Drosophila melanogaster: one gene and its partner. The protein of the gene in region 1 interacts with the protein of each later gene in a pairwise test. Each region holds a gene or a part of one and is shown on either strand. Other genes may lie near its edges.

What was found.
Region 2: the proteins of CG5334 (region 1) and Mrgn1 interact in a two-hybrid assay, tested with the Drosophila melanogaster proteins (one large-scale study listed by BioGRID).

What each region holds. Positions count from the first base shown.
Region 1 is NC_004354.4:14,766,342-14,782,586, reverse strand, and holds CG5334 (uncharacterized protein), read right to left. Parts: upstream 7,280-16,245; 5' UTR 7,229-7,279; coding exon 6,596-7,228; 3' UTR 6,288-6,595; downstream 1-6,287. Other genes in the region: CG5347 (uncharacterized protein), read right to left, coding at 4,852-5,709.
Region 2 is NC_004354.4:13,712,361-13,728,713, forward strand, and holds Mrgn1 (mahogunin ring finger 1), read right to left. Parts: upstream 9,618-16,353; 5' UTR 9,317-9,617; coding exon 8,058-9,316; intron 7,992-8,057; coding exon 7,051-7,991; intron 6,986-7,050; coding exon 6,816-6,985; 3' UTR 6,374-6,815; downstream 1-6,373. Other genes in the region: Nna1 carboxypeptidase, read left to right, coding at 1-10, 269-549, 622-781, 841-999, 1,064-1,132, 2,260-2,375, 2,464-2,599, 2,673-3,251 and 3 more; mus101 (mutagen-sensitive 101), read left to right, coding at 9,994-14,271; g (garnet), read right to left, coding at 15,672-16,254, 16,325-16,353.

The DNA of each region.
Region 1 (16,245 bases):
CTCAGCGACAATGTGAACAAGACGAGCGCCGGCTCTCTTTACAACGCAACAATGCATACTTTTCTTTCGTCTCACCGCAAATCGGTGATCGAGCACCCTCACCTTCAACTAACTCGAAACTTTTGCCCTCAGCGAACGACAGACCGCGTTCTTGCTCTCCCTCTCTGCCTGCTTCGGCTCACAAGTCGTGGAGCGAAGAGACCGCCTCTCCTACCCCGCTCCTCTCGCAGCGCCAAACGACCGTCCCGGGTAACTGTAACACTGCAATAACGAGTGCAGTGACCTCACTGGCAACTGCCACAACATCAACTTCGTCAGCGGCCCAACTAATTATCGCTGTGCCAGCTGTAAATAATTCAGCAGCACTGACCGTTTGCAACAACAATAATGCACGTAAAGAAGAATCAAAACAAAAGCAGAAGTCGATTTCGACTGTGCAGACTGGCATGGATCGCTACATCCAAATCAAGAGAAAGCTCAGCCCTCAAAACAATAAGGCAGGTAATCAACCCAAAATCAATCGAACCAACAACGGCAATGAAAACTCTGCAGTAAATAATTCAAACCGATATGCTATCTTGGCTGATTCTGCGACCGAACAACCCAACGAAAAAACGGTAGGGGAACCAAAAAAGACCAGGCCTCCACCAATTTTCATACGAGAACAAAGTACAAATGCACTTGTAAATAAACTCGTTGCTTTGATTGGTGACAGCAAGTTCCACATTATCCCACTTAAAAAAGGAAATATTCATGAAATAAAACTACAGATCCAAACAGAAGCAGACCACCGTATAGTGACTAAATACCTAAATGATGCTGGTAAAAACTACTACACATACCAATTAAAAAGTTGCAAAGGGCTACAGGTAGTACTTAAGGGCATTGAAGCAACAGTGACACCAGCTGAGATAATTGAGGCTCTGAAGGCCAAAAACTTTTCTGCAAAGACAGCTATTAATATTTTAAACAAAGACAAAGTTCCGCAGCCACTATTCAAAATAGAACTCGAACCAGAGCTCCAGGCACTAAAGAAAAACGAAGTGCACCCAATATACAATTTACAGTACTTGCTACATCGGAGGATCACCGTGGAGGAGCCGCACAAACGTATCAATCCAGTTCAATGTACTAATTGCCAAGAATACGGCCACACCAAGGCATACTGCACCCTTAAGTCCGTATGTGTTGTCTGTAGCGAACCTCATACTACCGCAAACTGCCCCAAAAACAAGGACGATAAGTCTGTGAAGAAATGCAGTAACTGCGGGGAAAAACATACTGCAAACTACAGAGGCTGTGTGGTGTACAAAGAATTGAAGAGCCGCCTAAACAAACGTATTGCCACAGCACATACATACAACAAAGTCAATTTCTACTCTCCGCAACCGATTTTTCAACCACCCCTAACTGTCCCAAGCACTACTCCAACAATTTCTTTCGCTAGCGCCCTAAAATCCGGACTAGAAGTGCCCGCCCCACCGACAAGAACTGCTCATTCCGAACATACACCGACAAACATCCAACAAACACAACAAAGTGGCATCGAAGCTATGATGCTATCCCTACAGCAAAGCATGAAAGACTTCATGACGTTCATGCAAAATACTTTGCAAGAGCTCATGAAAAACCAAAATATCCTGATTCAACTTCTTGTATCTTCAAAATCCCCATAATGGCTTCCCTACGGATATCTCTGTGGAACGCAAATGGCGTTTCACGGCATACACAAGAGCTCACACAGTTCATTTACGAAAAAAACATCGACGTAATGCTACTATCAGAAACGCACCTCACAAATAAAAACAATTTTCATATACCAGGATACTTGTTCTATGGTACAAATCATCCAGATGGTAAAGCTCATGGAGGCACTGGAATACTCATCAGAAATCGCATAAAACACCACCACTTAAACAATTTTGACAAAAACTACTTACAATCTACGTCCATAGCCTTACAACTCAACAATGGTTCAACGACTCTAGCCGCAGTCTACTGCCCACCGCGCTTTCCAATCTCTGAGGATCAATTCATGGAATTCTTTAACACACTAGGTGACAGGTTCATCGCAGCGGGTGACTATAACGCCAAGCACACCCATTGGGGATCTCGACTTGTGTCGCCAAAGGGTAAGCAATTGTACAATGCGCTTACGAAGCCAGAAAACAAGCTAGACTATGTATCCCCGGGTAAGCCTACATACTGGCCAGCAGACCCAAGAAAAATCCCAGACCTGATCGATTTTGCAATTACTAAACATGTCCCCCGCAACATGGTCACCGCCGAAGCACTAGCAGATTTATCATCAGATCACTCACCTGTTTTTCTAAATATGCTAACTCGCCCCCACATCGTCGACCCACCGTATAGACTCACAAATTTTAGAACAAACTGGCCAAGGTATCAAAAGTATGTCTGTTCACACATAGAACTAACGACGGCATTATCTACAAAGGAGGATATAGACAAGTCAACGGAAACTCTTGAAAACATTTTAGTTTCGGCTGCAAAGGCTTCAACCCCGCCAGTGACGTATGCAAAACCAAACTACATCAAAACTAATCGCGAAATCGAGCGGCTGGTATTAGATAAACGACGCCTACGAAGGGATTGGCAGTCTAATAGATCACCAATTACTAAGCACATGCTTAAGATAGCCACACGCAGGCTTACCAATGCTCTCAAACAAGAGGAAAAAAACAGCCAACGTTCATATATCGAGCAACTCTCTCCCACCAGCACTAAGTACCCTCTTTGGAGAGCTCACAGAAACCTAAAGACTCCAATAGCGCCAATTATGCCACTACGAAGTCCCTCTGGCACCTGGTTTCGAAGTGATGAAGAAAGAGCCAGTGCTTTCGCTGACCATTTACAAAATGTATTCCGACCAAATCCCTCTACCAACACATTTATTCTCCCTCCTTTAATAGCAGCCAATCTAGATCCTCAAGAACCCCTTGAATTCCGACCATGTGAACTAGCAAAGGTTATCAAAGAGCAACTGAACCCAAGAAAATCGCCTGGCTACGACCTAATAACTCCAAGAATGCTCATTGAACTCCCAAAGTGTGCTATTCTTCACATCTGCCTGTTGTTCAACGCAATCGCCAAGCTTGGATACTTCCCTCAAAAATGGAAAAAGTCGACCATAGTAATGATTCCAAAGCCAGGAAAAGATAAAACGCAGCCATCATCATATAGACCGATAAGCTTACTAACATGTCTTTCAAAGCTGTTTGAAAAAATGCTACTCCTTCGGATTAGCCCTCATCTTAGAATAAACAACACACTTCCAACACATCAATTTGGCTTTAGAGAAAAACATGGAACCATCGAACAGGTCAACCGAATCACGTCAGAAATTCGTACTGCTTTTGAACATCGAGAATACTGCACAGCCATTTTTCTAGACGTCGCGCAGGCATTTGACAGAGTGTGGCTCGATGGACTTTTGTTTAAAATAATCAAGCTGTTGCCCCAAAACACACATAAGCTACTGAAGTCATACCTATATAACAGAGTGTTTGCAATAAGATGCGATACAAGCACTTCACGCGATTGCGCAATCGAAGCTGGAGTGCCGCAAGGCAGTGTACTGGGTCCAATCTTATACACCCTGTATACGGCGGATTTCCCCATAGACTACAATCTAACAACCTCCACGTTCGCTGATGATACCGCGATACTCAGTCGCTCGAAATGCCCAATAAAAGCCACGGCACTCCTATCCCGACACTTAACATCTGTAGAACGATGGCTTGCCGACTGGAGAATTTCAATAAATGTTCAAAAATGCAAGCAGGTTACCTTTACCTTAAACAAACAAACATGCCCACCACTGGTCTTGAATAACAAATGCATTCCACAAGCCGACGAGGTAACATATCTGGGAGTTCATCTGGACAGGCGGCTCACTTGGCGCAAACATATAGAAGCCAAATCGAAACATCTTAAACTTAAAGCAAGGAACCTCCACTGGCTCATAAATGCTCGCTCTCCACTTAGTCTGGAGTTCAAAGCTCTTCTATACAACTCCGTCTTAAAACCTATCTGGACTTATGGCTCCGAGCTGTGGGGCAACGCATCCAGAAGTAACATAGACATTATTCAGCGAGCACAGTCAAGAATTCTGAGAATTATCACTGGAGCGCCGTGGTACCTTCGGAACGAAAACATACACAGAGACCTAAAAATCAAATTAGTAATCGAAGTAATAGCTGAGAAAAAAACGAAGTATAACGAAAAGCTGACCACCCATACAAATCCCCTCGCAAGAAAACTAATCCGAGTATGCAGTCAAAGCCGGCTGCACCGCAACGACCTCCCAGCCCAGCAATAAACTTATTAGGGCATTAATGAAAAAAAAAACTATCACTAAGTGAAAGTTAATTAAGTTAGATTAAGATTTGAACACTTATTGTTAGTCTCTTAACACAAAGGGAAGATTCAATAAATAATAAAAATTAAAAAAAAAAAAAAAAAAAAAAAAAAAAAAAGGTCCAGAAAAGACAATTACGTAAACAAAAATTTTGTAAGGGTTCTATTGCTAAATGTTTGAAATCGGCTATATTGGGATATAATGTACTAAATTGGTCGATATGTGGATGAACGAAGCTATATTAAGCTCAGTGTTGTACATTATAGTCTCTGGCAAGGACCAAGACTAAGTCTATAAACCGTGTCTCCTCAGCCGTCTAACAAAAGTTGCTTTGTTCTCTTTGATTTTCTTTGAAATGGACGTATCGCTCGAGTCACTGAGAAATTGATCGATCAAATTGAAATTCAGTCGATCGGTCAAATGCCATGAATGGTATTTCATTAAAATCAATAGTCATATTGTCATAGCCATCAGTCTGAATTGACGGCATTTGATTGTGTCTGGTTATCGTCACAACGACGATGGTGCCTGTAGAAGCACTTGTTTCCAAAGGGACATTTGCCCAAGCCCCCATTGAAGTACTTGCAATCCTTGGCGCCCATTGCCGCGCGATATTCGCTTAGCAACTTGTCCTTCTCCTCCTTTGTATCCACCCAGTAGGCACTAGGGCACACGAATTCCGAAAAGACGCGACATTCGGGGCAACCACGCGTCACAGTGGCCTCAAATTGATGGGCCTGACGCCATGTGCGAATGCACGTCAAACAGAATATGTGCTTGCACTTGGACAAGATGCCAAAGCGACGTTCACGTCCCTTCTTCTCCACGACGGTATCGAAACAAATGCCGCACATCTTGTCCTTGGATCTGGCTATTGCAAAAGATAGCTCCATCGCCTGCTCGTGCTGCTCCAGACACTCACGATTGTGCGCACGGCGTTGGTTCTGATCCATCGGGTGGAGGCAGTAAAGGTCGCACATCTTGCAAATCTCCATGTGAAGTGGATACGAGCACTTACTGCCCCAGATACAGCTGCCACCATATGGACAAATATCCTGGACACCTTCAGTTGCTTGGAAATCGGCAGAATTGGCTTTGTACCTGGGAACAAACTCTGGTGCATTTGCCCAGGTCATCTGGCGACTGTAGCTACTGGTGGAGGCCACCACTTGCTCATTCTCCACGACTTCATCCGCGATTTCCGATATCTGCGGACTCTGGTTGTCATTTGGTGTCGTCTCGTCGTGCGAGAATCGGCATAAATCACCAAAACGACAAATTCCAAGCAAATGGAAGCGACAGATTGTTTGACTACGGCGATACGACATTATGATGAAAGTATTTTTGAGAACTTTATTTTTTGGTTTTTAAATAGCGTTGTAAAATTTAAAAAAAAATATACTTTTTTTCGTGTAAAATTTTTGAACAATTTCTCGGCAATACTATCCTTCTGAAATAACTTTTAGCGACTGATTTAAAAATAGGTATTAAATTCTAAGGCGACTAAGCTAGAAATATGTCAAAGAGAATAAAAAGATAGTTGACGCTAAAATGAAAGCATTCTTTTAATGCATTAAAATAAATAATTATGCAATTTGTAATTAAGAAATTGCACTAGATTTCGAATGATTATATTTTAGACCATTTGAGATTTTTTTCTGTGATTTTAAAAAATTTTAAGAAATATCAAAAAGAAACTAAAATCCACAGAAGACTTAGTGGTCTTTCATATTCATTTTGTACAAGTGTTGAGTGATATTCACAATTATATGGATTTGTGTTTAAGAAACTTAATGATATTATTGTGAAACTGATGTGATGTGCTAATAATTTTAACTCCCACCTATTTTCCAGTGCTATTGGCCACTTCACCGTGACGATGTCGGAGACATCTAAACAAAAATTTGGTGCTTGAGTATTTGTTTTATTTTGTAAGGGTTATATTGCTAAATGCTTGAATTCGGCTATATGGGGATAGTAATGCACTAAATTGGTCGATATGTGGATGAACGAAGCTATATTAAGCTCAGTGTTGTACATTATAGTCTCTGGCAAGGACCAAGACTAAGTCTATAAACCGTGTCTCCTCAGCCGTCTAACAAAAGTTGCTTTGTTCTCTTTGATTTGCTTTGAAATGAACGTATCGCTCGAGTCACTGAGAAATGGGATCGACCGGTCACATGCCATGTCATGTCATCATTAAAATCAATATATTTAAAAGTCGTCATCCTCCATTGAATGCCGTTGAATGCGGTTATCACCCGCCAGAGAACGGTGATTGTAGAAGCAATTTGTTCCAAAGGGACATTTGCCCAAGCCCCCATTGAAGTACTTGCAATCCTTGGCGCCCATTGCCGCGCGATATTCGCTTAGCAACTTGTCCTTCTCCTCCTTTGTATCCACCCAGTAGGCACTAGGGCACACGAATTCCGAGAAGACGCGACATTCGGGGCAACCACGCTTCACATTGTCCTCGATATACTCGGCCTGACGCCATCTGCGAATGCACGTCAAACAGAATATGTGCTTGCACTTAGGCAGGATGCCAAAGCGACATTCACGCCCCCTCTTCTTCACGACGGTTTCCAAACAAATGCCGCACATCTTGTCCTGGGATTTGGCTATTGCAAAGGATAGCTTCATCTCCTCTGTTGCATTTGCCCCGGTCATCGGCCGACTGTACCTGTTTGCATGCCCCACGACTTCATCCGCATTGTTTGATATCTGCGGCCTCAGGTTGTCATTTTGTAACACATCGTGTGAGTATCGGCATAAATCATCGAAACGACAATTTCCACGCAATCGATAGCGACAGATTTTATGAAGATTTTGCCGAGAAGACGTCATTATGATGAAACTAATTTTTGGGACCTATTTTTGGTTTTTAAAAAGCGTAGCAAAATTAAACAAAAAAAAAAAAAAACAATTATACTCTTTTTCGTGTGCAATTTTTGAACAATTTCTCGGCAAAACTATCCTTCTGAAATAACTTATTGCGACTGCTATCCAAATAAGTATAGAATACAATGACGACTGAGCTACAAAGCTGTCTACGAAAATGAAAAGATTGTTGACGCTAAAATCAAAGCATTTTGTGATTTTCTAAAACTTTACATGCATTAATATAAATAATTATGCAATTACTAATGAAGAAATCGTACTAGAATTCGAATGGTTCCATTTTAGCCCATTTGTAACCCTTTGAGATTTTGAAGAAAACACATTTTCGTACTGAATTCCTTTAAGACTTTTTCCCTAGGCTTTGGTTGCATCAATCTGTATGGTCGCCTCTTGAACCCACCATTCCCAGTCAAGTGCCCAAGCTGAATCCCCATCGGCGGTGTAATCTCCAACTGACTGACTGGCTCAACAGTTGTCGCGATTGATTTGGCAACTGGGTATTGGTTATAGGGTATTGGGTATTGAGTATTGAGTATATTGACTATTGGTTGTCGCAGCTTACGAAATTCCACAGACGACTTGCGGCATTGCCATTGCCACATCAACGAGTCTCTTTTGCTTCCAGAAACTGTTGTCTTGTACAACCGATTAAGTTGGCAAGTGAATTTTGGGGTGAATCCCCCCAGTGTTTCCGTCATGCGGATTGTTGTTATATGCCGAATTTGTCGTAGAATGTCTTGGTAATCAATTTATGTGCTCCGTCGTTCGTCGCTAGTTTTTGGGTGGTTTAAGCACCGCCATTCGGCAGATGCCGCAAGCCGCAAGCTTTTTTGCCATCTTAATGCGGGATGAGAACGGAGATGTGGGATGCAGATGGGTGCGGGCATAGGGATAGCTATGAGCTTGGGTATTCACCTGCGGAATTCACAACGATAACTTCCACTCCAAATCCGCCTGGAGGCCATCAACTTTGACGGCCTGTCTTTGGTGTCTCGCTGTCGATGTGGTGGTGGTGCCTCTGTCTATCTGTCAGTAGCCTGTTGGCCGTCTACTTCGTCCTGTTGCTCGTCGTTCTGCACTCTAAATAAATTTCATGAAATTAAAGCTGAAGTTCCCATGCGAGCTCAGTCTTCAGTCGCCTTCATTGTTGTCATTATAAAGTCCAAAAATTATTTTAGTAACACTGTTCATCAAAAGATTTTTTTTTTAGTATGTGCAACATGCGGAAAAAATGTTTAAGCTAAATATATATTCCTCTCAAGATAAGAGATTAGATTCTAAAAAAAAATGTTGATATATTCTTTATATAGTTTATTTCAAAATATATATTTTACATTACATTTAAACATTTTATTAGAAAATACAATCGCTGTTAAATGTATACAATTACAATTTTGGTAAGCTTAAAGAAATGGGTTTTTTTTTTTCAGTGCCCTTGTCTTCCGTTTTGGCGTACGTGAAAATGAAGCATTTTCCATTTGATGATAACAAAACATGTTTGGCATATTGATGAACGCCTCGAGAGAATGGGTGTCCCTATCCAGTGCCCGTGCTCAGCTCTCAGCTACACCACCGCCTCCATCACCATCCTGGCCTCTCCTGGCGGCACATTTCAGCACATCTTGCGGCAAGGACTCGAATTAGGCGGCAGCTTCAGCTGAGTTCCATGCTCGATTTTAATGATGTGACTGACGGACAGCCACCGAAAAATATGTGTACTTTACTGCTGCTGCTTCAATGTTTCGTGATGGTATACACCCATATCTACCCCCTCGTATTATTTTTCCCTGGCATTTGCTTTTGCTTACTTTTCATAACTACCCGCCGTGTAGAAGCGTTTGGCAGCCTGTTTATATATGCGGGCTCCAACGTTTGTTTGCTTTTTGGAATACGTGATTCGCCCACGGTGCGGATGTGGTATGTGGGTGGCATCATCACAGCATTCGCAGTGAAAATATAAATAATAATAAAAATAATTTCTCACTTCATTTGTTGCACAAATCGAAAATAAGCTTGGGCGAAATCGAAGTCCGTTCGTGTCTGATGAGTTTCGTTACTGTGGATTTCGACCTTCGATTTATGTCTGGAATGCCAATTTGCCCACACTGCGTATGTGTACTATCCTTATTTTTTGCCAATAAACTTTAACCATACCACGCACATAAAATATATACCTAATGCTCAGGCTAGCTAATGAATAAATGGACGTTTGAATAAATTACTTAATCAGTTTATTCATGGCTTGATTTGATGGATTGAAATGTGCGCCTGCGAATAAATTAAGAGTTCAGATTATTGTGGAGGAAACTACTTACTAGTTTGCTTTGATATATGCATCCAATAAATATTTCAGTCCACAAAAATATATCAATATGAAATTTCTCTGCTAAAAAGTTTTTCAAATTCGATTACAGCAAATTGTCAGCTGAATCTTATACCGCATTAAATGTAATTTAAATAACCAACAACGTGTGACAAATATTTTATATGAAAGTTAGCGCTTTTGAACATTCAGTTATCTTATATATATTTAAGTCTTGCACAGGAAGCATTAAAAAGGTTGATATCAGGAAGCCAAATGACGGCAAGATAGTAGAAAATTGAGACTGCCAAGTCAAAAGAGCTTGTATATATTTATTATGGTTGGCTGAAAAGCAAACTGTTTAGCAGTTAGATAGATGATCATAAATGCAATCAAAATTAAAAGTAAATATTTTCGAGACATTTTTTTTTAAATTATTAAATAATGAATAACATAGTCTCTTGCATTCATTCGTTATAACTTTGAATGGAGCGTGTAATATCTTGTAAGCCGTGCCTGTGACAATTATAAGTGTAGAGCTCACTCACACTTTTCAACAACCGCGCAGATATCTTCAGTGAAAATATTAAATTAGCTGCCAAGTTGTGAGCCAATTTCAATTTGTGCTCCGCGTGCCAAACAGATTTTAAGCCATCTCAGACCTCGGTGCTTTTCTTTTGCCATGCCTTCCATAATTTTTTTTCTCCTTTTTGCCCCGTGTCGTTGACACTTTGAGTGTGTGTGTGTGTGTGTGTGTGCGTGTGTTGGATGCCTTGTGTGCGAGTATGTGTGTTTTAGCTGCACGACGTAGCATACTTTAGAGCGCTGCCATTCATTAATCAAGTTCAGGGTACTTTAAAGTGGTCGCTTAGCCTCGACTCTGTCACTTGGAGCTGAAAACTGAACTGAAGCTGAATCTGAATCTGCCAACGGAAATGGGTTTATTCTTGCCCCGGAGGCAGCACCACAAACGCACACATGTGTGGTCAAAAAATATGAGGAACTTTGCAAGAAATTGAAATTGAAATAAATGCATTTATTGTCTTAAAATTTAACTGAAAAATTGCAAGAAATTAACCTCGTATAACAAGAGCTGTTTGGAAGTTCGGAAGTTCGCAGATGGAATTGTTGCTCAAAAAAGAATACTAATTTTACTCCCAATCAAATCATAAAAAGTAATTTAAATGAATTATATTAAAACGCAGCAATAACAGCTTATAGATTGTCTTTTATTAGATTAAATAATTGATTCAACTTATACTCTTGTACTCTTTTTGCATTGCATACTTTTAGGCGGCGGCGGTTTGTGTTTCCACACAATTTTTGAGTTGGACTAGCGTTTTATAAACATTAACAAGGTGACAAAAAAAAAATACAAATAAAATAAATCGCTGGAAAACCATATAACTTTTCCTGCAGCCCAAATAATGCGTACAATTATATCAATTGTTACATTTAATGGCTTACTTTAGTGCGACCTCCGGCGCACTTAGCATGGTGTGAACTGTACCCTCCGGACTCAGGTTAGCAGGATCCCCACCTTCTTCTTTTTTTTTTGTTTGTTTGGTGCCCTGTGTGCACAATAGAGACAATATTGCCGGCATTTACATATAAATATTTATTGTCTTCCATGGCCCCAAGTTGCATGTGAGCGGTCAATTTAACACGAAACAACGGAGCATTTCTGGACAGGACTTCCCCAAGGGGTTATATCTTGCTCGTTTTTTTTTCCTGCTTATATTTATATATATATATATTTTTTTTTTTGGTGGTGGTGGTGGTGATAAGGGGCTGCTGTTGTTGTTCCAGTGGCCCCCTTTTGTTTGCACTTTGGATGCTGCCAAGATGGTGTAGATGGGGCTGGAGGCTGGGCTGAGTTTAGGGTATTTCTTTGGCTTTTTTTTATGACGACTATCAACGCTTATTGTGGGCAGGATGTGTGGGCTGCTTGAACTCCCCCGAGGATTTGTTTGGCCTGTCCTCCGGCTTTATTATTTCATCATTATAACATTTCCTCTATATGGGCCAACGTACATACATATGTATGTATGTACATATGTGCAGTGAGGAAAATAAGAGCACTGAGAATATTTCTTTAAAGGATTATATATAAAGGTTATATATATATATAGAGTCTCTATCGATTTCGAACTTGTTGCGGTCTTGCCGACCGATAAAAGAATTGCCAGCTAGAACTAAATCGAAATAAAATAGTACAATAATGGCTATTGAACATGGTATATAAATATATATCTAATATTAATAGAATTAAAACAAGAGAGACTGCTATAGGCGAGTTCCCGACTATCAGATACCCTTTACCCAGCTAGTGTGAATGCGAAATTTCATCATTTGCTGGGATATCGATAGATATTGCGGGATAAAATGAGAAAAAAATTTAAATTGTTCCAAAGATGTAGGCGTAAGTGTGGGCGTGGCAACATGGGTCACTTCTGTATGTTGAATCTTGATATGGCCAGATCGACTCGGCTATTGATCCCGATCAAGAATATATATACTTTGTATGGTCGAAATCGAAACCATTTTACCCTACGAGTAACGGGTATTAAAATGTAGTTTTTTTTCTTTTTCAAATATTTTCTGGTCCAAATCGTTGACACATTAAAAGCAGCTTGACTGTATGCGACCCCACTAACTTTACTATTAATAAATTGCATACACATAGCTTATAATTTGTTTACCCAACAAATGATACAACAACGATTTGCAAACCGTTTTCCCAGTCAGATTGTGCTGTCATGGGCATTTGGCATTCTGATTGTTGTTATTTATTTACTTGTTCTTTATTGTTGCTGCCAATTATATTGGTCACTAGCAAAGTACAAGGGCATAAGCTATTCGCAAATATAATAGAGTTATTTTTTTTTTTTACTAACATTTGAGGTAAATATTCGCAAATTAATTTGACTGAACGGGAGTTTTTTTCTGCAGATATTTTAAATAAAAATAAGAACAAAAATGTTCGTTATTATTATTTATGTATTCTATTTGCACCCCTTTAAAGGTAAAGCTGTAATTGGTTTTTATTTCGAAATAAATCGAATTAAATGAAAAAGCACTCTTTTTTTTGCCCTATATTCTACTCTGTATTAATTTCTCTCGCTACTTTTTGCCCAACTAACCCATTAAATCATCAAATGTGCGTTGTCAACTGGCCCAAAGGCGTTGGACAAAATTAGATACCAATTGTGACTCAAGTTGGCCATTATTGTTGGCACTTCCATTGAGGCATTTCGTTTGGGCTGTTAGCTCTCAAGCGAAAATTGTTGCGCTGTACCAACTTTTAACACCGATTTCTTATTAAAAGAAACCCAAACCCGATGTTTATATATTATTGATGTGTCGGTGAATTACTGTATCGCAAATGAAATTGTGTGATATGATTGGTAAGTTCAATAGGTTTATATGACATTTGCTGGAGAGAAATGGGTATATGGATTTGTAATGTGGTTTGACAATTAAACAAAAATATGTTACATTAAAAAAAATAATTAAGGTGTAAGGAATAAAAAGTATAATTCTAAAAACATAGCTTGCATTATAAGTTAAGTTAAAAAAAAACATTTAAATTCTATTTAAATTAAACAACATTCACTTATGTTAATAACCTAACAAATTGTACCTTCTAACCTTTTAGCAAAACTTAAATAATATTATATAGTTTAAGCATAAGTTAATTTCTGAACCAAATATGCATGGTATTTCGGTTAACCCAAATCATAATTCAACCTTGTTTCGGATATTTATTTTTCATCGAGTCTAAGCCAAATAAGAAAACATGTTTACCTTTTTCTTGACGCAAAGGTAACTTCGTTGTTTGTTTTGCTCTTTGATCGTCGCTTAATAATTACCTTTCAAATTTATATGCAAAATTCAATCGATTCGGTTAATTAGCGACAACACAATTAACTAATTGGCCAACGGCGCTCTCAAGTGATCGAGAGAAAGTGTGTAAAGAGAATTTGTTTATATTACAAAACGAATTGGGTGAAAATGATGTATGATAACCGAATAACATGGCTTATATAAGACGACTTAGGGGCTTCCGAGCAACAAAAAAAAAAAAAAAAAAAAAAAAAAAAAAAAAAAAACCAAACTGATGGCATTGGGCGGTACTGCGATCCCATATCGTTGGCTATGAATACATTTAAGATGATCAATCGCTTGGCAGATGCATGTCTTTTATTTGAGATTCTTCCGCAAATGCAAACCGGTTTAAATAATTAAGTATGTCAATCGAGATGGGATAGAGTTTCAAGAATTTCGTATGCCGTATTCGTGAAAGGGATCCATTAGATCCATTAGATCCACTGGCTTTATTTCGTTTTATTTATGGCCAGTAGCGACGACAGGTGTCGCAGTTATTCGATTGCATTGTCTGGCGATCGATCCATGGTTGGTTTCCAGCAATTATGCTGAACAAAACGGCAGTTCATCTATAGATTTGCATTTCGTTTGCCAGTCGGTCGGTGAAGGGTGTTCGAACATAATAACAATAATAACAATTGGAAATTAATCAGCACTACTTGCTACGACTTGTATACTAGCAGTAGCGGACAAAAGCGTTCCGAGCCACGGAGCAACGTACCCACCTGGCAGTTACCATGTTTTGCATTGAATTACCAAATAACTAAATATTATTGCTTGATTACCGACTGGAGGGTTGGCTGCTATGCTGATTTTTAATCTCTATCTCATTACGACCAGTTATAAATTATCTATCTATGCAGTTTGTATGCAGCCAGGCAGTTGTATCTGAGTGCATTCAGTGGTAGCGCAGTACCCTTTATGTTATTCGGGTACAGTGTAGTGCATAAGCATCAAATCGACAAAAGTTTTAATAGTTGAAATAAGAAAAAAAAAATAAAAAAAGCTATTACCATTAAAGTGACTGTAAGTATGCAATGGAAAAGGAGACGCATTTTAATGCTTGAATATGTAGAACACTAGCTTGTTTTTCATCTATTAAATCTTTTCCACTGCCTTTAATGCTGTCCTACGCGTTTCGATTTGGCCAACATCAGCTGCAACATAGCTCCCATAGCTGCAGTCGAGCAAAGACCCTTAGCTTCTGCAGTCAATGGATGCACTTTTTGCGGTCTCCGCCGCGGCATTGTGGCTTTCTGAGTCAAGGCCAAGCAGGCGTTCACTGAACCCCACTGCCCAACGAAACCCATCATCACAATCATAATCACATAGACGTTAGGCGTTATTAAAAGTGGCAGCAAGTGCGATAATTATGGCCAACGCTTAAGAGCAAGCTGCATCGCCTGCAAACAGAACATCAAGCGTACTAATTGAGTGTTCAATTGAACAATCAAGAATCGAAAGTTTTAAGATTCTAACTTAATAATTGTATAGTTTTTGCAACAATTAATGAAGGTGAAAGATATTCGTAAAGTATAGCTAACATTTGATAACATAACATCATATTTTTTTGTACGCTTGCAAATTGATAGTTTAAAATCAATCGAAACTGGCTTGCCTAAAACCGTAGAATTGTTTGATAATTGGTTATTAGGTATTCGAATCTTTAATTGATTCGTGATTGATTACCTATTACGTTTCACTTGGGTATTCCCCAGAAATACACAAATTCCAATTGGATATTTGGTCGTGAGTGAAGATGTGTTTGCAAGTAAACTAATAAGCTAAGATTAAGAATTTTATAAACTTTTGCAAGCCAAGACCCTTACAATAAACACATATGTGTTCAAAGATGTAACTTTTTTTTTTTGCGGCTAACAATTAAATAAATATCAACTAATGGGACAGCTAAACATATTTAATTGGCATCGTGGGGAGGTGTAGTACACTAATTGCAACACAATTGCCAGAATTGTGTGGAATTAATAAATTATATAAGGACGAACAAGGTTATTAGTGGGTTTAATAAAAGCTTTCTCCAATTTAGTTCAATATTTTTCAACGACTTAGGTGAAGTAAAAGATTTAAGTTTGTTTGTTATAAAATATTTTAATTTCCTTAATTCACACGTAAAATAATCTTTTTATATCCGTTACTTGTAGAGTAAAAGAAGGAAGCGTTTCCGACTATATATATATTCCTGATCTGGATCAATAGCCGAGTCCAGTTTAGCCACGTCCGTATATCCGTCTGTCCGTATGAACTTCTCGATCTCAGGAACTATAAAATCTAGAATGTTGAGATTCAGCATACAGATTCTAGAGACAAAGACGCAACGCAAGTTTGTCACGCCCACTCCTACGCCCACAAACCGCACAAAATTGCCACGTCCACACTTTCAAACCATTTTTCGAAATTTCTTAATAGTTTTATTAGTCTTGTAAATTTCTATTGATTTCCAATTAAACTTTTTACCACGCCACGCCAACACTTTGGAACAATTTTTAAATTTTTTCTCATTTATTCCCCAATATCTATCGATGTCCCAGAAAAATGATGAAATTTCGCGTTCGTATTCGCACTAACTGAGTAACGGGTATCTGCTAGTCGGGTCTGAAAGTCGATTATAGCATTCTCTTTTTTTTTTTTTTTAAGAGCGATCTTCAAGGGGATTGTTCGCCTTTTTTCTTGTGTTATTTTTTCTCTCCTGAAGTTGGATCTTCAGTACGCATAGGGTTCATTTGAAGAAAGGTGGACTGCTGGCATTTCCACG
Region 2 (16,353 bases), 1.1 Mb from region 1:
GAACATGCGGGTGAGTTGGGCAAACAAACTCATCTATCTCATGGCAATTAATCTGTAGACAAACTTTTGAAACTCCTGCACAAACAGCAGTGTGCTTAGATAAACTCATTCATTATATGCGAACAAAAAGTTGATAGCAGCATAGGTCGTTAAAGTTATAATTAGCAATTGATATTATGTTTCAAAGAGCTACATATGTACATATGTTGTTTAACAATCTTCTACCAAGGTGTATATTAAATTTCTCAATGTTTCCATACAAATTTAGCGGAAGAAATCGATTGTGGTATCGGCACGTGTCCATCCCAGCGAGACGCCAGCCTCGTGGATGATGAAGGGTCTGATGGACTTCATCACCGGGGACACAACAGTGGCCAAGCGGTTGCGGCACAAGTTCATTTTTAAATTGGTGCCCATGCTAAATCCGGACGGAGTCATTGTGGGCAATACACGTAACTCGCTGACCGGCAAGGACCTGAACCGCCAGTACCGAACGGTAATACGCGAGACATATCCATCCATTTGGTATACCAAAGCCATGATTAGAAGGTGAGTTTCAAGCAGCAGACAGAGGCCCATCTTTGGTTAACTATATTCACTGCTATCATTTATTTATCACAGACTGATTGAGGAATGCGGCGTGGCCATGTACTGTGATATGCACGCTCACTCACGCAAGCACAACATATTCATATATGGCTGTGAGAACAAACGCAACCCGGAGAAGAAGTTAACCGAGCAGGTCTTTCCGCTGATGCTGCACAAGAACAGTGCGGATCGGGTGGGTTATGATGTGCAATCAGATACTATATACTATATACTAACCCCAACCCATTGCAGTTCTCCTTCGAGAGCTGCAAGTTCAAAATTCAGCGCAGCAAGGAGGGCACCGGACGTATCGTGGTCTGGATGCTGGGCATCACCAACAGCTATACGATCGAAGCCTCCTTTGGCGGCTCCTCGCTGGGATCGCGCAAGGGTACGCACTTCAACACGCAGGTAAATTGCATAGACATTCACTTCACACTCGAATACCTATCTAGATAATTATCGAATCTTTCAGGATTACGAGCACATGGGACGAGCATTTTGTGAGACACTTCTGGACTACTGCGATGAGAATCCGAACAAAGTAAAGCGGCACGCAAAGTTGTTTAAACAAATCAAAAAGATAAGAAAACGCGAGAAACGCGAACAGAAAGCATTGAAATTACAGAAAATGGCCGATCAGGGATGTATAATGAACGACAAATTGAAAGTGAAACGTTCTGTGGAGAAAAGTGTCTCCTAGGAAGGTTTTATCCCATCAATACTAGCCCACAATATAACTATCGACACACACAGCTCGAAATCCAAACAACAAAAACCACACATCGACTTGTGCCGTTTCTTTTTTTTTTTATCGTTCTTGAACTATACTCGTAAATCGTTAATCGTCAATTGTCAATCGTATATCGTTTATCGCATAGAGTAATTGTAATCGCAATTATTGTTACCAACTCGTCGCTGCCTGCGTTTTGTCCCTAAAGCGCTGCTGTGCTGACCCAGAATTCAAATCCCAAATCCAAAGCCATCGACATTATCGTAAATACAATTCAACACACAACAAATACACGTCGGCCAGAGGTATATAACAGATATACATGTAGCTAAACGTATATCTGGTCATATACACCATATGCATATGTTATCCAATTAACATTACATGTATATGAGGCATTGAATTGTATGAATTTTAATGCTCTCTATTTGCGCGTATCGCAGTTTTTCTAATGTTTTTGAGCACTCAGTTGCGTGGCTAGTATATCTCTATCCACGCAATGGGTTCTTAGATTACTTCTGTAGATCTATTTATATATAATTTCATATATACATACACCCACCTGAATCCGCACAATCCTAACTATATAGTGACACACAGCACAGCATCGCCAGGCACAATAGGTCTTTTATCTTATCCTAGTCGCTCTAACTATAATTCGCGTTTCTTTCGATGTTGCTAGTCGTAAGCGTAACCGTATTATTATAACCGGAAAATATTATTTTTTGAAATAAATACCATATCTATTCATATGATTTACGTTTTTGACTTTTGCTTAGCATTAGACTTTACTGCTTTTCACACATGCTTTTAGTGATTCGCTTGATTTTTCCGCACACTTACATTGTTTTTAATTGATTACCATTTATTTTCCTATTCTTTTTTTTTAGCAAATGTATGATTTCTGACTAATCCTAATGCATTAACATTTACAATAGATTTTAAATTTACTCAAACAACAGGACAGGCTACGATCAAAAATTATCGAAAGACTGATGCGAGAAGGCTCTAGTGCCGACGAACCATTGAATATTCCCCTGTCAGATTACTCAAGGTGGGTCCATCAGTCAATCCTCTACTAACCTTAACTAATCTACTACTACTACTACTACCACCATCATATGCATTCCAACCATCATTAGCGACGAGGGCAACTGCAGCTCCAGTTCGGATAATGAGGGTAAACACTCGATAACGACATCCGATCTGGAGGGACCATGTTGTGCTCCCACCCGAGCACCGCCCAGTTCGCCTGAGGTCATACACGAAATCCGCAAGGTAAGTGGGGTTTATCCCACTAGTTTTACTGCACTGCACCTGCACCCTATTTCTACCCCAATCCGAACTACAGTTTCGCATGCGACGCATGCGCAAGGTGATGCACGAGCTGGATAGGATCTATTTTACGCCCCTGTTCCAGCGCAAATTCAAAACATTAACGACCTTGAAGAGGAGGCGTCAGAAAATGGGTGTCAAGGCGGCTCCAAGTGGAAAACGCCTTCGTGGAGGCGGTGGTCCTGCCGTTAGTGCTGCCACACCCACGCCAGCACCGGCCGTCCAAGCGGCAGCTCCAGTTGTAGAGACAAACGATGTCCAGAAATTGCATACGCCGAGACAATTGGCCAGAAGTTTGCCATCCAATAGTGATCAACCGACTGGAGGCCAGAGTTCCGACAGTTCGGAAAGCATGGATTCATCGCAATCGGAATCGCTACTGGAACCGGATGGTTCAAGTGGTAGCACCGCAGCGAGTAAAGAGGTCACAAAGAAGGTGAAGACTAGTGGTGCTGGCACAAAGAAGACGGCCAAAAAGAAGAAGTTCATGCCCACGGAGAAGAAGAAGCCGGTGGTCAATCAGAAACTTCACGTTGATCGCAATTTCCGCCTGTGGCTGGCCAATAGGCGCATCTACATCTATCGTCGTAAGAAGGTATCTATCGTAAAGGTAAAACGGTAAAAAGTTTAATATATATACCTAACATATGTTTGATACATACTTATAAGCACACAAGCACAACTAATTTAATAATTCCCCGATCTCGCCTCAAATCTCCCGCATCTAATCGGCTTAGTCCACGCAGGCGCGTCGCACTAAGGTAAGGAATAAGCCTTCAAAGAAACGTGGCGAGGTGGTGCGCACCACCCTGGACCTGCCCACAACGGATCCCGGCTCGGATCTGCACTTCTCCACCGACGACGAGGAGCACTCGCCGACGTCCGGACATAATGGTTACGGTGCAGTGCCTCCGCTCCGGCATACGCTGCTCCAGAGCGATCTGCAGAGGCGGTACATCGAGGAAATTGGCGATACGGTGGTGCAGAAACCAAAGGCGTCGCACATGCCGCCGGAACTGATTGTGACCACACCTTCGAAGAGCGGCACTCCGGGCGGTGGGAAAAAACTGGATGTCTACAAGCTGACGCCTCGAACTGCTCCAGAATTGGACACGGGTATTGGCATGATGCAACGGCAGGCCGGCGGAACTGGCACATCCGCCAGACGCACCTATTCGTGGCACAATCTCGATCAGCAGGAGATTCCCAATGGCAACGGCGGTGGTCAGGGCAAGGCCAACTTTTACATAGGCGATACCAAGCCAGGAATAAAGACGATGGCAAAACCGCTCCCCAGAAGGTGGGTATTTTTACGAATGATTTTGCGAAATCTAATTCGATTGGTTTACCTCTTTCAAGGAGTGTCCCGAGCAACTTCATTCCCCAGAGACATGGAAATGTGCAAACGGCCGATGACCTGCAGCTTAAGCTTTCGCTGAAGAAGAAAGTCTGGACTGGTGCGAACGGGGATGCGGATGGTCGCCCTCTGGCCTGGTACAAGGGTCACTCGATAACAGCATCCCAAATGGCCAACACTACGACGACCATACGAAGTGCAGGCGGTGGTGCTGCAGGAGGAGGAGGAGCTGGAGCTGGAGCTGGAGCGGGTGGAGGTGGCGGTGGTCAGAACCGAAACATGTTCCCCTCCAATGGCAGGGAGCAGACAGCTGCGTCTGGTGGCATCGCCATGGGTGTGCCACCCGCCTTTGTGGGAGCACCACGAAGAGTCAGAAAACTGGAGCAAGTTGATCTGTTCAAGTAAGTCGGGCGATTATTCCCTGGTTATTCCTCTATTAAATCTAACGTCCTTTTATATTCCAGTGCTTGTTCTCAGAAGCTGATGATGTGGCAGCAACAAGAGGAGCAACGGCGCTCCCATCCGCAACAGGCGCAGCGCCTACTGAAGGTTGAGGATCATCCGCAACATTCAAGGGACCGGGAGCAGCAGCCCTTCAAGCCCATGCACGTGGTCAGAAAGTCAACGGGAACGACCAGCCAGGCCAAAGTCATTCAGGCTTTGGTGGCAGCCGAATCCGGCGGTAAGGTGAAACGCAAGTCCAGCAGCATGATGAAGATAGCAGAGACCACGCAGCTGGTGACTCGATTCGCCCGGAATCGCAACAGCGCCGGAGGATCCGCAGCACAGCAGCAGCAGCAGCAGCAGCCACCACAACATATGCACCACCAGCATAAGCGGTTGTTGTTCAAGGGCCAAGGCGGAGTGGGGGCAATGGGCTCTCGAATGCACTCTGCCGGCGTGATGGGTAACATGCAGGGCAACGGCGGAGGACGTGCGCCCAACAAATTCAAGACCGGCGGACTTGTGATCACCGCCGTGCAGCAACCGACCAATATGACCGGTGGAGGCTCCAGGCGGATGAGAAATGCAGCCGGATTGCAGGCCAAGGGCAGCAATGGCGCCTTGGGTTCATCCACCGGTCAAATGCAATACCAGCGCAGCAATGCCAGTGTCCAGGCCAACAAATCCGCAACAGAAATCTCCATGGACGCCGTAAGTCTGGTGCGGAAGGTGAAGACCAAACTGAAGAAGCGCAAATCCCGCACTTTGTCAACCGGAGCACCGAAATAATTGACCCAGAATCTCCGCCAGGTGCATCACCGAGTTTTTTCATTCAAAATTTTAGTCAAATTTAATCCGTTTTAGACCCGTCCGTTTTTGTTACGTAAAAAAGCGATAAGAAAATGATTAGCAAAATTAACTAAATAATTGATAACACCTATAGGCGTATTTTATGCATATGTAAACCCGATCTCTGTACCTACAGTTAATCCCTAAAATATGTAATGTTGAAAGTCCTAGTGTGTGTGTTTTTTTTTTTTTTTTTTTTTGGTCGCCGAAACGTTTTCTATTGAGATTTGCAATAAAACAAACAAAATGAGAAAATGTGTGCCACTCAAGGGTGAGATATGGAAGGGGGATGGGGGTGGGCTGGGTTGGCAAATTTGGTAAATAAATAATGCTTGACCGCTGACCGAAAAATCAATTACACTACGCACATGTCCGGCAATCGCGGTGGAGGTCGAAAACTATGGCGGGGGGCGGGGATTGGGCACCAAGTGGGAGCAGGACGAGAAGGTCCTGCTTACGTACCTCCGGCAAAACTACGGTCGCTCCGTCTCAATCCTTCGCACAATCAATTCAATCAAAACAGCCACTTTACCACGCGAAAAACCACCGAAAAGAAATTCTTAAACGGGCGAAAGGTAAACAAATCCAATTGGACAATTCCAAGGGTGATCTCTAGTGATGGCAGCTCCTAGCGGCCTATCGACGCCTTTCGATAGTGTGGGCGCTGTTATCGATAGCGATTTGCAAAAGTTTTTTATTTAAATAATGCATTTAAAGTTGATATTTAATATGAAAATTGGAAATGACATTTTTCTTTTACGTATAAGTAAAAGTTTATAATTTCACTTTAACGCATAACGTAATATTAAAATTCGAATTTGAAAATATGTATGTTTGAATTAACTATTTAATACAAAAATGTGTTGGATTTATGGTTTTAAGACCACAATTTACTATTATTTTGTTACTGCGTACTGCCACATGTATTTAATGGCTTTAGATTAATATATTTGTTGCTAAATTACTTCATTCTTGCTAATTAATATTCACAAGTTACTCTTGATATTCAAGGAGTAATATATGTATATACCACACTGCCGCCCATTGATAGTGTAACTAATTTAGTTCGAATTATACTGTGGAATGTAGCGCCCTAGGCGCCGTTGTTTATTGGATTTATTTTATTTGTTATATACCCAAGCCATTATACTAGATTAAACTACATACACACACATGCATGTGGGACGTGTGTCTTTTCGTGTCTGTGGTGTTAGTGTTTGTATGTATGTATATACTGTGTATACTGGTTAAGTGTTGCGTCCTGGTAGCCTTATTCCTTGCTCCTCCTCCGTTCCATCCTTATCCGTATTATCATTATCATCATCATCATCATCATCATCATTAGCATTACCATTAATATTAATATTAATATAATCCTCAAAATATTTGTTCCTGCGAGCGGGGAAGCAGCATTGATTTAACTAAATCTAGGTGAACTCCGAATAAATAGTATAAACGCAAAGCTAAAACGAGAAAACGAATTTCCGCGAAATTCAACCGAGACCGGCTCTAAACATTGACGGCATTCTGCAGAGCTGTCTTGTCATCTACGATAATATTGGCCGCCGTAGTGGTCGGATTGGAGCTGAGCAGCTGCTTGGTGGACGAACTGGAGGAGTAGCTATCACTGGAGCTGCGCGTCGAGGCCGAGTTGCCGCTGATTGGGCTGTCCAACATGTCTGGATGGCAGTAAGATATATGTTTTAATCATGTGACAATTGGAAACCGAATCAGAAACACCAACCTGGCAGGGAGCTTACGTTGTTGGACTTCAAGTCCACAACCGTTGTCACCGATCCGGAGCCCACCATGTTGCCCACCGATGTGGACTTTTTGTGCAGGTTCTTCTTAACTGCACTACTGAAACCCACAACGACGGGTCCCACTCCAGCTTGTCCGCCCACTGATCCTGCGCTCCTGCCCACGCTGAGACCGCCATTGCCCAGACTGCCGGCGCCAAGGGGATCACCGCTTTTGGCTCGCTCCGTGGGGCACAGTGGGCTTAATATCGAATTCTGAGTATCCTCCGGCGTGTAGTAATCCGAATCCTCGGCCGTGGCCTCGGCGGGTGAGGGTGCACCGCTTCCGCTAAGTTCTGGTCTCGGTTTGGTGCGCTTTATCGACGAACCCTTCTTTAGGCTGGACTCCTCGGTCGGCCCATCACCAGTGCTGCTCTTATTATCGACATCATCATCCGCTTCCAGGCAGGCCACCACCTGCTTCAGCGATTTGCTAGAAACGTTCTTGCTCTTGCTGCCGGGTGATAGCAGAGGCGATAGCTTCTCGTTCTCACTGTCCACATCGTCATCGGTACCCGCGGAGCCATCGCCACCGGAACCGGCTGTGGATCTGGGATACTTTCGTTCGTTAACAATCTGCAGCTTGTCCTGTTTCGGTTCCGGCGAAGTGGATGCCCCCAATGTTGGCGAAGTACAGGTGGCCGTGCTGGACTTCTTCGGATCGCTTTCAATCTCCACAGAGTGTGTGGATGACCCATTGCCGCCGCCCGATTGATTGGTAATGGTGCCCACCTCACTGGTCGACGTGCACGTCGAAGCGTTTTTCTTGATCTTCGGTCGACGCTGGCTGCTGGACTTGATCGGCGATGTGGCCTTGATGTCAGCACTGGTCATTGTCGAAGCGGCCACGGTGGCAGCTGAGTCCGTGACATCGTGTTCGCTGTTCCTGAATTTTGGAAAAAAAGGCATCAGCTACGTAAGATTTATCGGTTAATTCCATTCCATAACTCACCTAGCCCTGGCCACATACTGTGGCGGTCCGTTGAGTGCCTCAATTAGTGAGACTGGAATATAGCCTGGCGGAACATCCACTGGCGCCGGCTCCCCGGCCGCCGATGTGGGCGTGTTCTGGTGCAGTACATGCGTGCTAATTCCCTTCTGGACAGCACGGATCTGAAGCAACGCCCGAAACGGAGCGCGACAAATGGGACAATTGTTGGCCTGATAGCGCAGCGAATCCGCGCATGAATTGCACAAACAGAGATGGCGGCAGGGCAGGATGAGCGTATCCCTCGTCTCACTCATGCAAATAACACACTCGCTGCCATGATCGTCGATCTCCTCGTCCAGAGACGTTTTGTTCACGGCCTTGTTCTCGATGCCATAGATCTCCTGTAGCAGGTAGCACAAGCCATCCACAAAGATCTTTTGCTTCAATGCACGCAGCACATAGCTGCCGTTTTCCGGATGATGATCGATCACACAGATGGTGGTGTGCGATTGCCGACACTCGTCGCTGCCCTCCTCCACCACACAGTGAATGGCCACGGGATACTGTTCACGGCCGGGACTATAGCCCAGTTCATCCTCGGGCATCTGCTGCGGATTGAAGACATGGCTCGGCTGCGAGAAGCACTGATTGATGCCCTTCTCGTAGTGGTACGTCTCCGAGGTGAGACCCTCGCGCGGCACCAGTGTCACGCCGCTGGGACTGACATCCTCCGAGCAGAAATAGTAAATGGTAATGGCGCACTTGGCGTCCGAGTCAAAGGTAAACTCGATGTTGTAAGAGCAGGGCGGCGGTGGGGGCGTCATATCGGCATCACCGCCACCCAAACCCATCGAGCAGAGCACATTTCCATCCACATCCTCGATGGTCACGTTGGACTTCTCCTTGTCCAGATCCAAGTCCCGATCAATCTCCTTCATCTTGGGCTTCTCGAGTACACCGCCCAGCTTCTTGTCGTTCATCGTCTTGACGAAACGCACCGACTCCTTGCGAATGTTGACCAGACTCTTCAGGGTCTTCGTCGGTTCATTGGCCTGCGGCGGGGGATACGGAAAGGCTGTGGGTCGATTGCCCAGGAAATTGAGATCCGCATTCTCGCCAAACAAGTACGATTCCGGTTGGGGCGTGTCGAAGCGCTCGCCGCCCATGATGAAGTGGGTGCCAAAGAAGTTACCCATTCTCGGTGGATACTTGTAGGCATTGTTCGTGCTCGGATCGGCCTCCTCCACCGCCGCGTTCTGTCTGCTCACAAAGTTGCCCATTTGATAGGTTGGTGCTATGGAAAACTGTGACACAGATCCAATATAGCTCTTGGCCTACGTTTTCTCTTCGCTTTGGTTTAGTTTATTATTCTATTTCAGTTGGTCACCACCACACATACAATGGCATGTTGGCATTTCACTTGTTCGGCGGAAAATGGCCGCTGTGTGTGTGTGAGTGTGCGAAAGCTGTGGTCGCCTTCAAGTGTTGGATCCTGTGTCCACAAAACTAGCAATAGTACAAGTTGGTCAATGTCTTGATTATTTCTGATTTGCCTTTCCTTTCTTCTTTCTTCCTTTCTTTTAGGGCTGAGCTGCCGTCGACGACGTGGATATCGATATTTCGCTTAATGAAATATATCGATAGCTTAAACCAAAACTGATAAATAACTGCTTATTTTCGAAATATTTTATTTATTTGATAAAAAGTAAATAAAAAATCCTTACATCTTAGAGATAAATAATTAAAATTACCCATACACATTATTTTTTAATTCGCCGTCGGCGTTGCCACATAGCTCAACTCGTAGTTGCCAACTAATCACAAGCCAGCGTTGCCAACGGTTTGAAGGCAATAACAAACGGCGCCAAAATAGCGTACGCGAAAAAAAGTGCAGTGCGAAAATCACGGCAATTTTGCAGCGCATCACGGAGCAGAGAACACACTCGCAACCGCCATCATGAGCATAAGCATGAGCATGGACGAGACCATCTGCGCGTACTTCGTGAACAATCTGAAGCCGGGCGACGGTGGCGTCCAGGAGGCCGACACACTGCAGCAATTCGAGGCGGCGCGGGAGCTACTGGGCCAACAGTTGGCGGAAACGCAGATCCGGCAAATAAAGCCAAGCGAAGGATATCCCCTGATCGCAGCCGGTAACCTTACCAAGAAGGACGTCTTTGTGCTGACCCAGTTCGAGGGCGAATTCTTCGAGCAATTGCAGCAGACGCGAGCACTAATTCTGGGGCCACCGTGCCTCATCACCTGCCTGCGGCGCAATGAACCCATTCCCGAGGGCAGCAGTGCCATCTACAGCACGGCCATGCGGGATCTGCAGGTCTCGGCCACGGGCATAACACCACAGAAGAAAGAGGAATTGAGCAGGCTCATAAACTGGATGGGCGGCATATACTTTCAAAGCTTCGGGCATCGCACCACCCACCTCATTTCGAACACCATCAAGTCCAGCAAGTACGAGCAGGCAACGCTGAACGGAGTACCCGTAATGCACGTCGACTGGGTGCAGTACGTCTGGGATCAGAGTCGTCGCAGCCAGCGCGAGGGCATCATGGCCACGGATCCTGATTTCGATAAGTATCGCCTGCCCATTTTCTTTGGTGCGAATATCACGTGCAGTGGATTGGATGTGGCGCGCAAGGATCAAGTTATGCGGCTGGTCAACGATAATGGAGGCATCTATCATCGTGCCTTTCGCTCCCAGGTGGTGGACATCGTCATCACCGAGCAAACAAAAACGGACACCGAGAAGTATAAGGCAGCCATACGCTACAAGAAGGATGTCTTGCTGCCGGAATGGATCTTCGATAGCTGCAATCGCGGCTACGCTCTGCCCACAAAGGACTATGAGGTGCGGCCTGGCAAGACGTCGTCCACACCCACCAAGACCACTCGTCCGGGCGCAGCTCCCGGTGCAGATCAAACGCACCTCTCGGATCTCTCACGTATCAGCTTCGTCTCCGGCTCGCGTCGCATGTGCAGCGATCTTAGTACCGTCAACGAATCCGTCAGCAGTGTGGGCAGCAGTTCGCCCGCCAAGCAGCTGCTCAAGCAGGCGACTAGCAGTGGCCGCAACTACCAGCAGGTGCTGGCCGAGATTGAACCGCGTCAGGCGAAAAAAGCGGGCGCCTTTCTGGATGGCTGCTGTGTGTATTTGAGTGGCTTCCGCTCAGAGGAGCGTGAGAAGCTAAACAGAGTGCTGAATACGGGCGGAGCGACCCGCTACGATGAGGCCAATGAGGGCATCTCACACATCATTGTGGGCCAACTGGATGACGCCGAATACCGACAGTGGCAGCGCGATGGTCTCATGGGTTCAGTTCATGTGGTGCGCCTAGATTGGCTGCTGGAGAGCATTCGAGCTGGTCGCGTGGTCAGTGAGTTGGTGCATCGTGTGTCGATGCCACAGAATCGAGAACCAGACGTTGCCTCTCCTGCCAGCAAGCGAACACTGCGCTCCATGAACCACAGCTTCAAGCAGCCAACATTGCCCATCAAGAAGAAGCTTTTCGATCAGGAACCGGATCCCGTGCAGGAACAGGAGCACGAGGAGCCGGATCATACGCTGCTGGATCAGTACTCACAGGATCAAGGAGCAGTGGCACAACTGCCACCGGCAGATGTTAGTCTCCTTCAACCAGCGGCAAGTTCCACCCAAATGGATATACGCCAGCGAGTCTCGGTAGCCAATCCAAAACCACCCGCTGAGGGTTTGCAATTGCCGGATCTCAGTGCCAGCACTCTATCCATTGATTTCGATAAGCTGGACTACTTCGCCGGTGTCTCTGTTTATGTGCACAGGGAGTGTTTCAACGAGGAGTTCTTCAACCAAATGCTAACCGAATGCGAAGCTGCCCAAGGCTTATTGGTGCCATCGAGTTTCTCCGATGAAGTGGATTTCGCCATTGTCAGCTTTGAGGTAGCCTTCGATGTGAAGCAATTACCCGTCAAGGCCCGCCATGTGGTCACCGAACTGTTCCTGGAAAGCTGTATGAAAAAGAATCAACTGCTGCCCATCGAATATTACCACAAACATGTGCCGGCTACCGCACTGCGTCAGCCGCTTAAGGGAATGACTATTGTCGTATCCATTTATGCAGGATTGGAGCGGGACTTTATTAATGCGACAGCAGAACTACTTGGCGCCTCCGTCAATAAGACATTCATCAAGAAGGAGAAACCGCTGCTGGTGTGTCCCAGTGCCGAGGGCTCCAAGTATGAAGGTGCCATCAAATGGAACTATCCCGTAGTCACATCCGATTGGCTGGTGCAGTGCGCCCGCACTGGTCAGAAGCTGCCCTTCGTTGGATATTTGGTGGGCAAGAGTCCCGAGGATTTCCCCATATCGCCACGCTTGCGGGACAGCAATAGCCGGACAGCAAGAAGACCGAATGAATCCACATTGGTGGCTCAACCGGATGTAACCATGGAGGAGGCCGAGAACCAACCGGCGGGATCTGTCACACCAGTTACTGCTGGCAGTCCAGGAGCTCCTGAACTGACGCCCCTGCGCAACAAGAGAGTTTCCGAGCTAGCTGGAATACCAGGAGGCAGTGCTCTTCATCGTGGCAGCAACTCCACATCTTCTCCGGACTCACCATGCACGCCACTTAGCCAGGTGGGTGCCCAGCAGTACAATCTGGACTTCCTAGAGCAATTCGTTCAACGCCTGGATACAGAAGAGGGCAAGGATTGTGTGCGCGAGATTATCCGTGAAATGCGCGAGAATCAAACGCCGGAATTGGAACGCATTCGACGGCAGGCCTGCACGCCCGTCAGTCGTAAGCATCAACGACCAGCACCGGGAATTCCAGATTTTTGTCTCACTCCCGAGTTCCAGCAGCGGATGGCCGATGATTTTGAGCGGCGCTGGCGCCTACCCACCATGAAAATCAAACCAGACACACCGTTGGCCGTCATCAGGCAGCGCGTGATGCGGATCACATGCGAAACTCTGGGCATCGAATATGAAGAAAGTAATGCTAAGACGCCAACGCTATCGGAATCGCCATCAACGGTAAAGAAGAAGCCGCCAACCAGGACGACGCAGGCCACCAAACTCAACTTTGATAGATCACCGAAAACACCGAAGCTATCGCTAGGTAAAAAGACGCCACTCCGGGTGTCCATGGGTTCACCCCGCAGCGGAACGCAATCACCCTTCGTACCGAACACACAGAGTCCAATCGAAGCAGCGCCGCCACGGCGTTCAGATGGTCCAACGTTAAGCGAGGAAGGTCAGAGCACTATTAACTTTGACAAGATTAGCTTCGAGGAGTCGGCCGTGCCCGTATTGGCCCCAGATGTTCCCACAGTGGCGCCAGATGTCAAGCAAATCACCGACTATCTAAAGAACTGCGAATCGCGAAGGAACAGTCTGAAGCGTAGCCACGACAACGACATGGATTGCGGCGAGAGCGAGGTGCAGTATGTGCAGCCCTTCGAGTCCGAGGGCTTCGCCCTGGGCACCGAGGACATGGTCGACTGGCGCGATCCGGCGGAGTTCAATGCGGCAAAGAGAAGATCCTCTGGCGGTTCGCCCAAGATGCAGTATGCTGGCATACCGTGCTTCAGCATCTCGTGCGGTGATGATGACGAAAAGCGGGCGGAACTAATCGCGCGGATCACCCAACTGGGCGGAAAAGTGTGCGAGAATCTGGTGAACTATGACGATAGCTGCACCCATCTGCTGTGCGAGCGTCCGAATCGCGGCGAGAAGATGCTGGCCTGCATTGCGGCCGGGAAATGGATACTAAATATCCAGTATATCGAACAGTCGCATGCGCGTGGCGACTTTCTGGACGAAACGCTGTACGAATGGGGCAACCCGAAGGCCATTAACTTGCCCACCCTGGCACCGGAGGAGGAGCCCATCGCTGCCGCCGTCCACCGTTGGCGCACGGAGTTGAGTGCGTGCGGCGGTGGCGCCTTCTCCGATCACCGGGTTATACTCAGCATGAACGAGAGGAGCGGGGCGCCCATCAGGAATGTGCTGCGTGCCGGCGGCGCTTGCATCCTGGAGCCAACAACTCCGTTCTCCAAAGATCCTGTGGCCAAAAGTGCCAGCCATTGTTTTGTCGATGTGAAGAAGGCGCCGCTGTCGACCCAGGACATGGAGTATCTTCACAAATGTGGTGTGCAGGTGCTCAGCCAGATTGCCATCAACGCATATTTGATGAACGGCAGGGATGCCGATCTGGGAAAGTACCAGCTCCTTTGAACGAATCATTAGATTCTTTGTACATGCATTGGATTTTTTTTTTTGTTCCTGTTCTATATTTTGATATTTTGTGGTTATATAAAAGTTATTGAATTAAAGCCTTCAAAGGTTTAATTTAAAATAGGTCTAGTTTAATCAGTTGTAAGTGTAATTTTGAATTTTTGATTTGTGTCCTTTTCTTTTGGTTACTGAAAAAAATCATAATATTTGGAAGCCTTTAGCGTAATGAATTACTAATAAATTAATATCGTTAATTAACTTCAAAATAAACGAACTGAAATTGAAGTCCATTTGATAATTGTATTTAGTGATTTATTTCTAAAGGTGTTGTTGAAAATTAATTCTAAGTCAAAGCGCAAATTATTTTAGAATGAAATTTGACGATTATCTATTTTTTTATTGAAGCTACCTTATTAAGTTTATTTCCATTATTAATTTCATTCCAACTTCAATTTAATAAACAAAATGTAATATTAAAAACCTAAAGAAATTCTATTTTTTTCATCCCGATTTCGATCAATTACATTATTTATTTTCCGCAGCCAAATTAAACAATAAATCAATATGCAAGTGTATTGTACTTTTCATTTATTTAACGTTTATATATTTGTATGTGGGCTTGTGTGTGTGTTTGTATATAATATGCATGTATGTATGTATAATTTCACTTAGCTTCAGTTTTTGTTTTTGTTTTTTTTAGTAATTATGTTGTATAGCAGTACTTTATATTTGATTCATACGGCTTCACATGTATACATATATAATTTGTTTTTACAATCCATGCTGTTTGTTCTATTCTCTGTGTGGGATTCATTATAAAATTCCATTTTATATAACTATAGCTATATAATTGTCTGTGTTTGTGGGTGTGTTTTTTTTTGTTTTTGTTTATTAGTGGAATCTCATGCTCTAGGCAACAAATTCATCAAAAATAGATAGTATCCAGGAATCGATCTGCATCGCATGGCATTCTGGTTGCCAGTTGATCTGTTTCTCATATTCATTTTCGATTTTTTGCAGCTTTCTTCATGTTTTAAGCCGCAATTGGCAGACTGGCGGCATTTTACATTTTAAAATTACACTTCTATATATTAATAATTATTTATATATGTATGCATATATATATATATATATATATATATACGGTTTATGTGGATTTATTTTTTAGCATATCAATTTGTTCAATGTTGGTTTTGTTTGTTTTTTATATCGCAGCGATAATTTTTTTAGGTTTTTTTCATTCTCTTAGGAGGCAATTGTTTCAACTTAACGAAAATGGAGAGATTCTGAAGCTAGCTTCGCCTCTCACAAAATTTCCGAATAAAGGCTTAATAATCAATCGACACAAAAAACAATCGTAATAATGATTAATTAGATTAGTGGAACTTGGAGCTTAGCAATTACAAAATCTCTTTGCTGGGCGTTGAGATTCCCAGTGGCTGTTCGTAGTCGCCAATCGAAACGATGGCGGATACGGATGCAGATTCTGAAGCCTTCTTCTTCTCCTTGCGCTGTGACTTCTCCTTTTTATGCTTCTTCTTGTGCACCTTGGACGCCACCTCGGATGCCTCCTCGCCGCCCACATCGATGATGCTGCTCCCGGTGGCGGTGGCCAGTGCATCAGGCGCTTCATCCGTCGTCTTCTCCTTGTTCTTCTTCTTTTTGTGATGCTTGGGCGCATCTGGAAGGACAGTTGAAGTGTTGTTGTTGTTGCTGGTGGCGGAGATGTGGCTGGGACTGGGAGTGGGCGTGTCGGCGTCAATGAGATCGATCACCGACTGAACAGCAGCCTCCTTGCGTTCCCGCTTGCTCTCCCGATGCTCCCGCTTCACCTTCCTCTCCTTGTCCTTGTCCTTGTCCTTTTTCCTATCCTTCTTGGCGGCGTTACCACCGCCGGCCGAATCCGCCGGCGTCTTGAGATTCTCTTTGTCCGCCGCTGACTTTTTGGACGCTGACCTCACCGCGGGCGCCTCGAACTCCGTACTGTAAGGAGATTTATAAAAATACAATTAGCCTTTTTTTAATTCTGCGCAGCTTTCAGCTCGTTGATTACATGTCCAATTCAATGTCCAGGGCTCGATG